3 linked regions of the Coturnix japonica genome follow. The protein of the gene in region 1 interacts with the protein of each later gene in a pairwise test. Links are inferred from orthologs where the notes say so. Each region holds a gene or a part of one and is shown in the gene's direction. Other genes may lie near its edges.

The links.
Region 2: the proteins of L3MBTL2 (region 1) and MEAF6 interact in binary tests that used the Homo sapiens proteins (3 or more experiments, as listed by UniProt). The two-hybrid records come from large-scale screens. The link is inferred for Coturnix japonica from reciprocal best matches to the Homo sapiens genes L3MBTL2 and MEAF6.
Region 3: the proteins of L3MBTL2 (region 1) and TBC1D9B interact in binary tests that used the Homo sapiens proteins (3 or more experiments, as listed by UniProt). The two-hybrid records come from large-scale screens. The link is inferred for Coturnix japonica from reciprocal best matches to the Homo sapiens genes L3MBTL2 and TBC1D9B.

What each region holds. Positions count from the first base shown.
Region 1 is NC_029516.1:45,388,742-45,392,389, reverse strand, and holds part of L3MBTL2 (lethal(3)malignant brain tumor-like protein 2), read left to right. Parts: intron 1-168; coding exon 169-286; intron 287-1,564; coding exon 1,565-1,699; intron 1,700-2,308; coding exon 2,309-2,397; intron 2,398-3,051; coding exon 3,052-3,283; intron 3,284-3,584; coding exon 3,585-3,648. UniProt on the Homo sapiens protein: Putative Polycomb group (PcG) protein. PcG proteins maintain the transcriptionally repressive state of genes, probably via a modification of chromatin, rendering it heritably changed in its expressibility.
Region 2 is NC_029538.1:3,342,597-3,346,344, forward strand, and holds the start of MEAF6 (chromatin modification-related protein MEAF6), read left to right. Parts: upstream 1-1,413; 5' UTR 1,414-1,463; coding exon 1,464-1,559; intron 1,560-1,683; coding exon 1,684-1,799; intron 1,800-2,259; coding exon 2,260-2,347; intron 2,348-2,454; coding exon 2,455-2,500; intron 2,501-2,922; coding exon 2,923-3,112; intron 3,113-3,355; coding exon of another isoform or gene 3,356-3,380; exon of another isoform or gene 3,381-3,748.
Region 3 is NC_029528.1:4,630,933-4,634,580, reverse strand, and holds part of TBC1D9B (TBC1 domain family member 9B), read left to right. Parts: coding exon 1-55; intron 56-746; coding exon 747-876; intron 877-1,108; coding exon 1,109-1,207; intron 1,208-1,692; coding exon 1,693-1,761; intron 1,762-2,452; coding exon 2,453-2,693; intron 2,694-3,059; coding exon 3,060-3,125; intron 3,126-3,276; coding exon 3,277-3,348; intron 3,349-3,648. UniProt on the Homo sapiens protein: May act as a GTPase-activating protein for Rab family protein(s).

The sequences.
Region 1 (3,648 bases):
CATGGTCACCACCATTAGCTGATTCATGTGGATGAGCTGATTGAGACATTCTTCATTTTGTGGTGTGACAGCTGTGCATGGCTGTCTGGAATGTGGCTTGTCTTTCACGTTGCTGTCTCCATTGCTGAAATGCAGTACCCACCCACTCTGGCTGCCTCAATTCTTTAGGTGCCGCTCTTCGATCAGTGGGATGACGTGGTGAAAGGTATGAAAGTGGAGGTGCTGAACAATGATGCCGTGCTTCCCAGCCGAGTGTACTGGATTGCATCAGTCATCCAGACTGTAGGTAAGCCTCCAATGCAGCCCCCAACAGCCAGGCACAGTTGACTGCTGGGGGAAACTTGAGTGAGAAGACCATAGCTGGTCATGTAAAGCATCAGCTCTTTGGAGATCAGCAATTCATAGGATCATAGGATGGCCTGGGTTGAAAAGGACAACAAGGATCACTGTCACGGAGTTCTCTCTAGAGCTCACTCTGGGACAGTGGGCACAAACCCGGGGCAGCAGGAACAAAAGCCCCCCCCCCCGCCTTTTCTCTAGCGGCACTGCGGCGTGGCCCGGCCACGTGTGTTTAGGGAGAGAGGAAGGGAAGGGAGATTGCGATTAGGTCTAACAAAAAAATGAGGGAGAAAAAAAGGTGATCTGAGAACGAACGGCAGTTTAATAACCTAATAACGCTATAACAACAAGAGAGTTTCAACAAAGAGAATACCAAGTCCCCAATCTCACCGATGGAGCTGTGGAAGGCAGGAAGCTCTGACCACGTTGTCTCCTCTCAGGGAGCCGGCCAGCAACCCCGTCCCCTTCCTCACTTCCCTTCCGGTGTCCACCACATGCCCATTTGAGGCAGTTCACAAAAAAAAAACTTGTCCCCTTTACTCCCATTATGAGGCATGGTGTTCTGATGTGGAATACCAACACCAACCAAATTGCAAAACCATAACAATCACCCAGTTTCAACCCCCCTGCTATGTGCAGGGCCGCCAGCCACCAGACCAGGCTGCTCAGAGCCTCATTCATCCTGGCCCTGAAAGCCTCCAGGGATGGGGTATCCACAGCCTCCTTGGGCAACCTGTCCCAGTGCGTCACCACCCTCTGCGTGAAAAACTTCATCCTAATATCTAATCTAAACCTCCCCTGTCTGTCTTAGTTTAAAACCATTCCCCCTTGTCTTATCACTGTCCAGACTCATAAACAGTTGTTCTCCCTCCTATTTATGTGCTCCTTTCAAATACTGAAAGGCCATAATGAGGTCTCCCTGTAGCCTTAACCAAGCTAAACAATCCCAGTTCCCTCAACCTGTGTTCGTAGAAATATTGCTGAGGGATTTTGGAACAGGAAATACCACGGTATAAAGGTGGGGGGAAATCAGCATCTGATTCCTTTCCTGGTTGCTGGGCTCTTTGCAAGGACTGTTCCGCCTCTGTAATGGTTGGGGAAGCTCGGATAACCTGTGTGGAGTTCTGAATTCCTTGCTGTAGGGAATAAACCTCTAGTACACAAGAGGAAAAAGAGAAATTCTGTCTCTGATGCCTTTCTTTGGTTGTTTGTTCTGTCCTGACAGGGTACAGGGCCCTTTTGCGATATGAGGGCTTTGAGAATGATGATGGCCATGACTTCTGGTGCAATTTAGGTGCAGTGGATATTCATCCCATCGGCTGGTGTGCCGTCAACAGCAAAATCCTGGTGCCACCACAAAGTGAGTGTGGGAAAGGGAGGCCAACACGCTGGCTTGGCTGCCTCAGCTCATGCATGGTACAGTGGGATGGACACTCCTACCCACAGCTCTGCTTGTGCTGTTGGGGCTGTTTGCTCTGCATCTCCCTGTGGCTGACCCAGAGGGGTGCTGGGTGCCAAGCTGCTGTGTTATATCTGTGGACAGAGTCTAACAAATGTAGCCATTCTTCCTTCTGACCGTGACAGTAGCTAGGTTTAGCTTTTGGGGATTCATCTTGTTTCTGAGCAACACGCTGGCTCCAGTTCTTGCTCAGCTAGCACTTAGGAGAAGGATGCTACTTGAACAGGATTCTGGCCCGTGGATTTGTTTGGCATGACCTACGTGTTTCTTGTAGTACCACTTCTACATCTGGATGAGCGCAGTTGGATGTCAGCTCCGTGCGGTCCCTTCTGTGGTGGTGATTCCTCATAGCCCGTAGTGAGGGTGAGCTGCAGAGTAGTCTGTCTGAGCGCAGGGAGAGTGGTAGAGTGTGGAGGTCTTCTAGTACAGATGAATTGCATTACTGAAGAAGAAAGGTGTAGTACAGTTCTTTGGCCATAAAGATCTGCTTTTTTCCCTGTGCGTGTCTAGCTATCCATGCCAAGTACACTGACTGGAGAAGCTACCTCATGAAAAAATTGGTGGGAGCCAGGACCATCCCAGTGGACTTCCACATCAAGGTGAGACCATGATTAAGGTGGTGTTTCCTTTGTTGCTTCTCAGGAAGCTGAGATTTTTGGTTTTTTTGCTGCTTGTTCCTGGGCCATGGTTAAGAGCTCACACTGTGGAAGGTGCTGGAGGAAGGCAGATGTTGTCTGTGTGTTTCTCTCCCAGTATTCCACTCCCACCTGATGTGCAGAAGTGAGGAGCACCTTCCCTTCGAAGATCTGCATTCAGTTGTAGGCTGGTTGAGGTGTCAGAGTCTGTTTAGAGTATCCATAGTAGTTCTATAGCATTCTGGGGTCTCCAGTGAAAAAATGTCACGTGTTCTATACGTGCCTTTGAGTATTTGCAGGTAAGTACGGATAGACTGTTATCCTATCCTAAGCTGTTAGGTTTGTTATCAACAAACTGCAGGTCTCCAAAAAGTGCATGGGACTAAGGGAGATTTAAGGTGTATGCGCCCAGCCACGCTGTCATGTTGTGGGGCTGGCAGCTCCCTGTGCCTCTGATGAATTCACTCCCATTCAGTACTTCCCAGAGGTGTCTCCCTGTCAGCTTTGGGCAGTGAGAGCATCTGAGCAGAGTGTGTGTGGAGGGGAAAGCTGTTTCTTTGAGGTCTTTGGGGAAGGAAGGCACTGTGTGGTCACTTCACCTCTTCTTCTTTTTGCCAGATGGCAGAGAGCATGAAGTACCCATTCCGGCAGGGCATGCGGGTGGAGGTGGTAGATAAGAACCGTGTGTCTCAGACACGCATGGCAGTGGTGGACACTGTTATCGGGGGTCGGCTGAGACTCCTCTATGAAGATGGTGACAGCGATTATGACTTCTGGTGCCACATGTGGAGTCCCCTCATCCATCCTGTGGGCTGGTCACGGAGAGTGGGCCACAGCATGAAGAAGACAGGTAGGGATCAGGCCCCCACGTACATCCTTTGGTTTGCTATGTGCTGCCCAGCCCTACTGTTAACACCTGTCCCATCGTGGTGGAAGATCAGGCATTTGTTTTTGTGTTAGCTCTGTATCACAGCCTGTTATAGGAAGATGTAGAGGGATTGACCTGTTTCTTATCCATCTGATCTGGATTTTATTTAGTTACTGAGTTCTCAGCAGACAACAGCTAACTGATAGCCAGCCGGGATGTTTTCTTGCTGTGTTTGCTGCAGGTTTCTCACTTCTTTTGTTGCTTTTTTTCCCATTCCTTACAGAAGAGAAGCGCATTGACTTGGCAAACCACCCCACCTTCCGAAAGATTTACTGCGATGCTGTTCC
Region 2 (3,748 bases), on another chromosome or scaffold:
CATGCATTGGGATGGAGATGTTGGAGCATCAAAGCACTGGTGCTTCTTATTGCCTTAAAGTCCTTCTGTTGCTGACTGGTTCTTATGGTTTATTGTGGGGGACTCCACTGAATATTTGGCTTTGGTAGGTCTGTATAGTGGGAAATCTGACTTATTTCACCCCCCTGACAAGCAAAAGAGCAGCTGGATGTGAATGATCTGATGCTGGAAACATGTTCAAAGATGGTTTTCTGCTGGATAAAGAAACGATGTAGAACACAGCAAAGTGTATTTAAGAATATTTTTATCCACTGTTTTTTGTCATAAGCCTTTGAAAACGCTACTGAACTGAGGTGTTAGTTTCAAATGTAACCCCATGCATTGTTTGTAATGTCTTGTTTTGTAGAGTTTGCCAAATTCTAGAGTTCTAGAAGGGAGAATGACCAGGTTTGCTACTAAAAGAGGGATATTGCAAAGGTTTTATGTGTCCTGGGTGGTTGCTCTGCACTGTGAGCAATGGGCATTTGACCACAATGAGCTGCCTGTCGATTCCAAGGTAAGTGAGAAGAAAAGGAAACACAACCTGAGGCTTTTAGGTTGCAACGATGTGGTTTGGGAGGGCTGAGGTCCACATCAATGCACGCTATACATTGCAGCACCCAAACTATGGCTGACTGTCATGTATCTCCTAAACCTCAGCCCTTTGTTTCTATCAGCTCCATGAGTAACTTAATGTTTTTTGTTTGTAATTGTACTCGTTACGTGGTGGCATGTTTTTATTACCCGGTTTGCACTATTTAAGTTTTTCTTTATATATATATATATATATATAAAAAGAACTGAAGCTCTCGTTGCTTTCTAACATTCTCCCCCACAGGAAAAGCTTTAGGAAGAGGAAATTAAAAACCCCAATGACTGGAAACAAACACATCTCACCTCTTTGTGGCTGTCTGTTCCCTATGGTTTCCATGTTGATGCTTAACACACTGTTGCCTGTTTGTTCTATGGCCACACACACAACCTGTATACACACACTGGAGCATTGATGGTGTAAATACGGGGTGTTGATATAGGTTTTCATATAGAAAGCAGGATAGATCTTGGCTTGAAGGATCACCTTTATATATATACACAATCTCAAGGTTTTTAAATAAAGAATTTGTAATTCTATTTAATTGTAATGTTTCTTTCCTATATCCCTATTTCCCCCCCATGCACTGCACAGGGAAGCACTGAGCCCTGCTTTTGAGCTGCTGAGTGAGCAGAAGGGTTCAACCTTATATTCGAGGTTTGCCTTGTTGTTTATTGCACAGACCCAAATCCTGGATGCTTTTAGGGCTCCCCATCACCCCCCTCCCATGTCCCTATTAAGCCCGACCCTATAGCGGCTGCGGGGCGGAGCAGGGGGGCGGAGCGCTGTTCAGTGCTGCCCCCTAGCGGCCATTCCCCGCAGCCCCGCCCGCTCCCCGCAGGCCGCAGCCGCCATGGCCGCCCTGCACGCTAAGTCCGGCGGACCCCCGCAAATCCCGGACACCCGAAGGGAGCTGGCCGAGCTGGTGAAACGCAAACAGGAGCTGGCGGTGAGCAGGGAGCGATGGGGACGGGGGGGATAAAGTGGGAAGGCGGTGAGGCTTGTGGTTGTGGTTGTGGCCTTAAGGTAAGGCCAGGCCCGCTTCTATGCATCGCGCTGTGTGTGCCCGGTAGGAGACGCTGGCCAACCTGGAAAGGCAGATTTATGCTTTCGAAGGGAGTTACCTGGAGGACACGCAGATGTACGGCAACATCATCCGCGGCTGGGACCGTTATCTCACCAACCAGAAGTGAGTGTGGACCCCAAACCCGCCCTCCCATCCATCCCAACCCCCCACCCCCCCTTTCCATGACCCCCAAACCCCCCTCCCATACATTCCAACCCCCCCCTTCCCATGGACCCCCAAATCCCCCTCTCCATCCATCCAACCCTCCCCGGCTTCCATACCCCCAAACCCCCTTCCCATTCTCCCAACCCCTCCCCTTCCCATGGACCCTCCAAAACCCCCTCCCCATCATCCCAACCCCTCCCCTTCCATGACCCCCAGAACCCCCCCTTCCATGACCCCAAACCCCGCCTTCCCATCCATCCCAGCCCCCCCCTTTCCATGGACCCTCAGCCCCGCCTCTCTCCCATCCATCCCAACCCGCCCCCCTTCCTTCCATGGGACCCCCAAACCCCCCTCCCCATCCATCCAACCCCCCCCCCCCCTTCCATGGGCCGCCTCCATCCTCTTTTCTCCTTTGCAGGAACTCCAACAGCAAAAACGACCGCAGGAACCGCAAGTTTAAAGAGGCCGAGAGGCTCTTCAGCAAATCCTCAGTCACTTCTGCTGCGGTAAGAGCTGCCCCCAGCCCCCAACCCCATGGGACCAAGCTGCTGTGGGTATCTGTTAAGCCATGAGTGCATCCCTGTTGTCATTAACACCCATTTCATCCTTCCAGGCTGTCAGTGCGTTAGCTGGAGTCCAGGATCAGCTCATTGAGAAGCGTAAGTCACCTCTTCACTTGGCAGAATTAGGAAGAATTGAGCTTCTCCCCACAGCTCGGCCCCATCTCTGCTTTGTTGGGCTCTCTGCTGTCCACTTTGGATGGAGAAACCAGGATTGAAGTGATGCCTTTAGATGTCTTGTGTCTCTCCATCAGCTGCACGTGGCTATGGGAGGAGATAAGAGCTTCACTACTGGAGGCTGCAGCCTGTTGTGGGCATCCAGCTTTAAGACCTTTCCTTCTGCTGTCACCATGGCTTTGGGTCTGACAGCAGGGCTGCATTTCCAGTCCTTGGCACCAGAAATTTGGGTGTCTGTAGTTCTTGTAGCCCTTTTTTCCCCCCCATACTTTGCAGGAGCAGCCCTGGGATGTGAACAGTGAGGTGATAATCATTGGGCTCTTCTGCTTCTCGTCCCATTCCAGGTGAGCCGGGCAGTGGGACTGAAAGCGACACATCTCCAGACTTCCATAATCAGGAGAACGAACCCAGCCAGGAGGATGCTGAGGAGTTGGATGGATCAGTGCAAGGGGTGAAACCCCAAAAAGCAGCTTCTTCCACTTCTGGAAGCCATCACAGCAGCCACAAAAAAAGGAAGAATAAAAACAGGCACAGGTTAGTGGCACCGACAGCCTTCTAGTAGTGCAATGGGAACGGTTGGCTCTTGCTGATGATGTGAAGGGAGCTAGTAACTCGTCAGGTCGTTTGGTTCTATCACTTGCTTTGAAGCTGCCTGTGCTCCTGCTGCTCTCCTTGTGTCAGGGAGGGAGGCAGCTCAGCAGGCATATTCAGCACAGGGTACTCACAGCTCAGGTGTTTCTGACCAGGCTTTGTGGGTTCTTTTCTCTTTTCAAGCAGAATAAAGCTGTCTTCCCTGCAGTAGAGGAAGATGACAGCCCCGGCTTCCTGTGGTTGTTCTTTGGTTTCTACTGAGCTAAGGGAGATAGGAATGTCAGTGCTTTCTTTGGAGGAGGAGGATGGAAAACAGCTTAGAGTGTTCTGGGGGCTGCCGACACTCACTATCTTTACTACATTTTCTACTCCAAAGCTTTCCTGTTATCGTGTCCCAGAGTCCTTTGATTATAGCACGTACAAGTTGCTCTATCACACAGACCACAAGCTCTTGTTATTAAACTGGCCTGAAATTCACATGAAACAGATTTCCTGAGCTCTTTGTGATTGAATTTAGGTGACCACTTCAACCCTTTAAGGCGCACCTTCAAGGCAAGATGCAGCACAGTGGGCTGACAG
Region 3 (3,648 bases), on another chromosome or scaffold:
TGGAGAAGTTGTTACAGTGCTGTGATGAAGGTGAAGCAATGACTATTCTGGGCAGGTACCATTCTTCTTATTTATAAATGAATGGTGATAGTACCCCTTTTAGTCATCATTCCTTTCAGTCTAACGAGAGAGACTCTTCTGTTGTTCCCCTGAATTCCATTACGTAGCAGGTCACAGATACCAGACTAGGATGAAACTTGAGCACTGGAGAGGATTGCTGTTGATTTCTGCAGCAGCTGAAACAAATTTTTGGCTCAAGTATGGAGGAATCCAGAGTTGTTTGCTTTGTGGCATACTACATTCCTGTTTCTCAGTTTGAATTTGAACTCCATGAGGTTACTTACCCGAAATACACAGAAGAATTCTAATCCATTATTAAGAACAAGTCCTGGCAGGAATAGCCTTTTAGTAACGTAAAGCCTTTTCAAGCAGATATTTCCCAATTATAGTAAATAAAACATTTTCTTGCTTCAAATGTGAATCTGTCCTTTGTTTTGCACGATCTTCAGGTACCTCTGGGAGCTTTTAGAAAGAACAGATATCCCAAAAGTGGGATGAAAATCACCTCTACGTGGGAGATATTGAGGATAGTGTTGTAGGTTTGCTGGGAATTTTTTTTCTACGTGTTTAGATTAATCATACAAATAAGGGAAGGAGTTTTGTGTTTAGGATATTACTGCTTTTCCTTCCTTGACGTTAATCCAGGAGTCTTGCATTTGTTCTATGTTGTTTTTTTTTCTCCACAGGTATTTGGACAACGTAGTTAACAGGCAGAGTGTCTCACCTCCTATTCCACACCTGCATGCCTTATTGACAAGTGGGGATGACCCACCACTTGAAATTGACATCTTTGACCTCATCAGAACATCCTATGAGGTCAGGTTTTGGCTTAGTTTTTACCCAATTGATTTTTTGAATTACATTTTGGGACAGGGGTTAATAGAGAGAAGGGTATTTTTTTTCACCTTCTCGATGCTGGTCAAAGTATTCTGGGGTTGTTGGATGGTCTTTGGTGTGACAGTGCACTTTGTTAAAATCATGTGATTAAACATGGGGTAATTCATTCTTCAGGATGTGGTGCTGACCCAGCCTGTTTCTTTTCTCATAGAAATTTAGCAATTTGAAGGCAGATGACATTGAACAAATGCGTTTTAAACAAAGGCTGAAGGTGATCCAGTCTCTGGAGGACACGGCCAAGAAGAGTGTGGTATGTGATGCCTGGATTAAATGAGTTACAAAATGGCATTTAGAAAGCATGCTAGCATGTCTGGGAGTTTTACAGAAGGGTTCGTGACTAAAAAGGAGTGTCCACATCTATTGCAACTATCTCCCGTTTCCCAGGTAGAGAATTTCATCCGTTTCTTTCACTGTTGTTTTTCTATGCATCTGAATCTGAAGATAAAAACAACAGGAAGGGACAGCTCAGGGTTCTGTGGGCTGCAGAAACAGGAAGCTGTAGCAGTAGTTTTTTACTTACTGCTCAAATGTCAGCAGTTTCTGCTTGACTTGAAGCTGTCTTCCTGACCTGTAATCCATAGCAATGGGAAGTATTGGAGCAGTTATGTTTTCTCTCCTCCCCTTTCTCATACCTTCTTGCAAATCTTTTCTTAGCTTCTATGCTCACAGATTTCAGTGAGTCATGTTTAATTTGGGTAGCTTTGAAAGAAATCACTCTGTTTGCCCTCTAACTAGGTCCGGGCTGTGTCTAGTGACATTGGTTTCTCTATTGAAGAACTAGAAGAGCTGTATGTAGTGTTCAAGGTAAGGAGCAAATAAGGGATTCTGTTATATATGTGGTGCCAGTGAGATTGGCTCTATTACTGAACAGTTTTGTTGTTTTTTTTTTTTGTAAAGATGGTCAGGCCTCATCACAGTGTTTGAATTGTGCTCATTCAGAGAGAGGGTTTGTAGTCAATGGTAGAAATGACATGTAGTACTTAGAACATGGGGCTAAGACTGACTTGAACCTCAGTTTTCATTTTCTAGTTTGCCACAACCTTGCTCTGTAATTGTAACACAATTACTCAAGTGCTTTGTCTTTATTTGTCATTGGAAGTGTTGTTAAATACACCCAAGTGCATTTCCCAAAGTCACTCAAGCTCAATTACGCTGTGCCTGCTTGCATGCAAGCTCAATTTCATGGTGCTATGGACTCAGGGAGGCCTAGTTCTAATATCTGCGTGCATAAAGCCTGAGTTTCATTTTACTCAAATAAAAAGGAATCTTTTTTTGTATTTTTCACTTATTGTTTGTTTTTAGTGAAATCTGTGTCACTTCCTCCATTTTGTACTCATTTGTAGTGAAGTAATGCTCATCATAATGGGCAAGATAAACTGTGTGTCCTGGAATGTCCCTTCTCACTTGGTGCTGTTTTTGATCTGTATGAAAGGCTCCGATCTCATGGCTTGTTTAGTATAATATAACCTGACTTATCAGTGCTTTCCCTCCAAAGGCAAAGTACCTGATGAGCTGCTACTGGGGAAATAATCGTGCTGCAGCTGCCCGCCGAGATCAGAGCCTGCCCTACCTGGAGCAGTATCGCATAGACATGGAGCAGTTCAAAGAGCTCTTCATCGCTTTGACCCCCTGGTCCTGTGGTGCACATACCCCTGTGCTAGCAGGGCGCTTGTTCCGGCTTCTGGATGAGAACAGGGATTCTCTCATTAACTTCAAGGAGTTTGTGACGGGGATGAGTAAGTGGTATTTCTGGAGCTGCTATATTACAGAAAATCTTTCTGTCATCTTCCAAGAAAACTAAAAGGAGATGCTGATGATTGAACTATTACGAAGGGAGGGTGGCAGCCTTACAGGATTTAGTTCTTCAGGCTGAACTAAAGATGCATTTTTGCTGCTAGACAAACTCTCATTTTGGGAAACAGTAGGTGGTAAACCTACAAATGAAACTTTGCTGTAGGTTTCTTTGTGGCTTTGTACAGTTTAGCAGTTCCTTGCTGCATAGAAACTTATGTTGTTTCGAGATTGAGTGTAGAAAGTGATTCTTAATCCTAAATGCTCTTTTTCTTATCCTTCAGTTTTTGTGTGTTTTTTTTCGCTTGCAGGTGGGATGTACCATGGTGACCTCACTGAAAAGCTCAAAGTACTTTACAAACTGCATCTGCCTCCTGGTGAGTGATCACTTCCGTGAGCTGCTTGTGAGCACGGTGTGTTCCGACACACAACTGAAAAGAGATGTATCATAAGTTTTGCTAACAAAATGGGTAATGCTGTTGTTCAGTTACCTTAGAGATCTTAACATTTCTTTCTCTGTAAGCACAGCTCTGAATCCAGAGGAAACAGAGTCTGCTTTGGAGGCCACAAGTTATTTCACAGAGGATGTTACAGCAGAAGGTAATGCAATGCTTGCTGTCCTTACCTCTCAGTTTAGACAGGAATCCTGGCACAAATCTAGTGCTGTGATTGGTGATTTTTACAAGGCATGGTCTCATGGTGGCAGAATGTTAAGGTTACTGATGTGTTTGAGTTGGCTGTCATTACTGCATGATGAGAAAGAAGTTTTGAGCTTAAACTGCTCAGCACCCATGTCATGCAGGGCACTGCACGCTCTGAAGCACAATGATACGCTGCTGAAGAGGAGCACTGTGCTTCTGCCAGTTCCTGTCTTTCACCTCAACTTGGGTTTTTCATGCA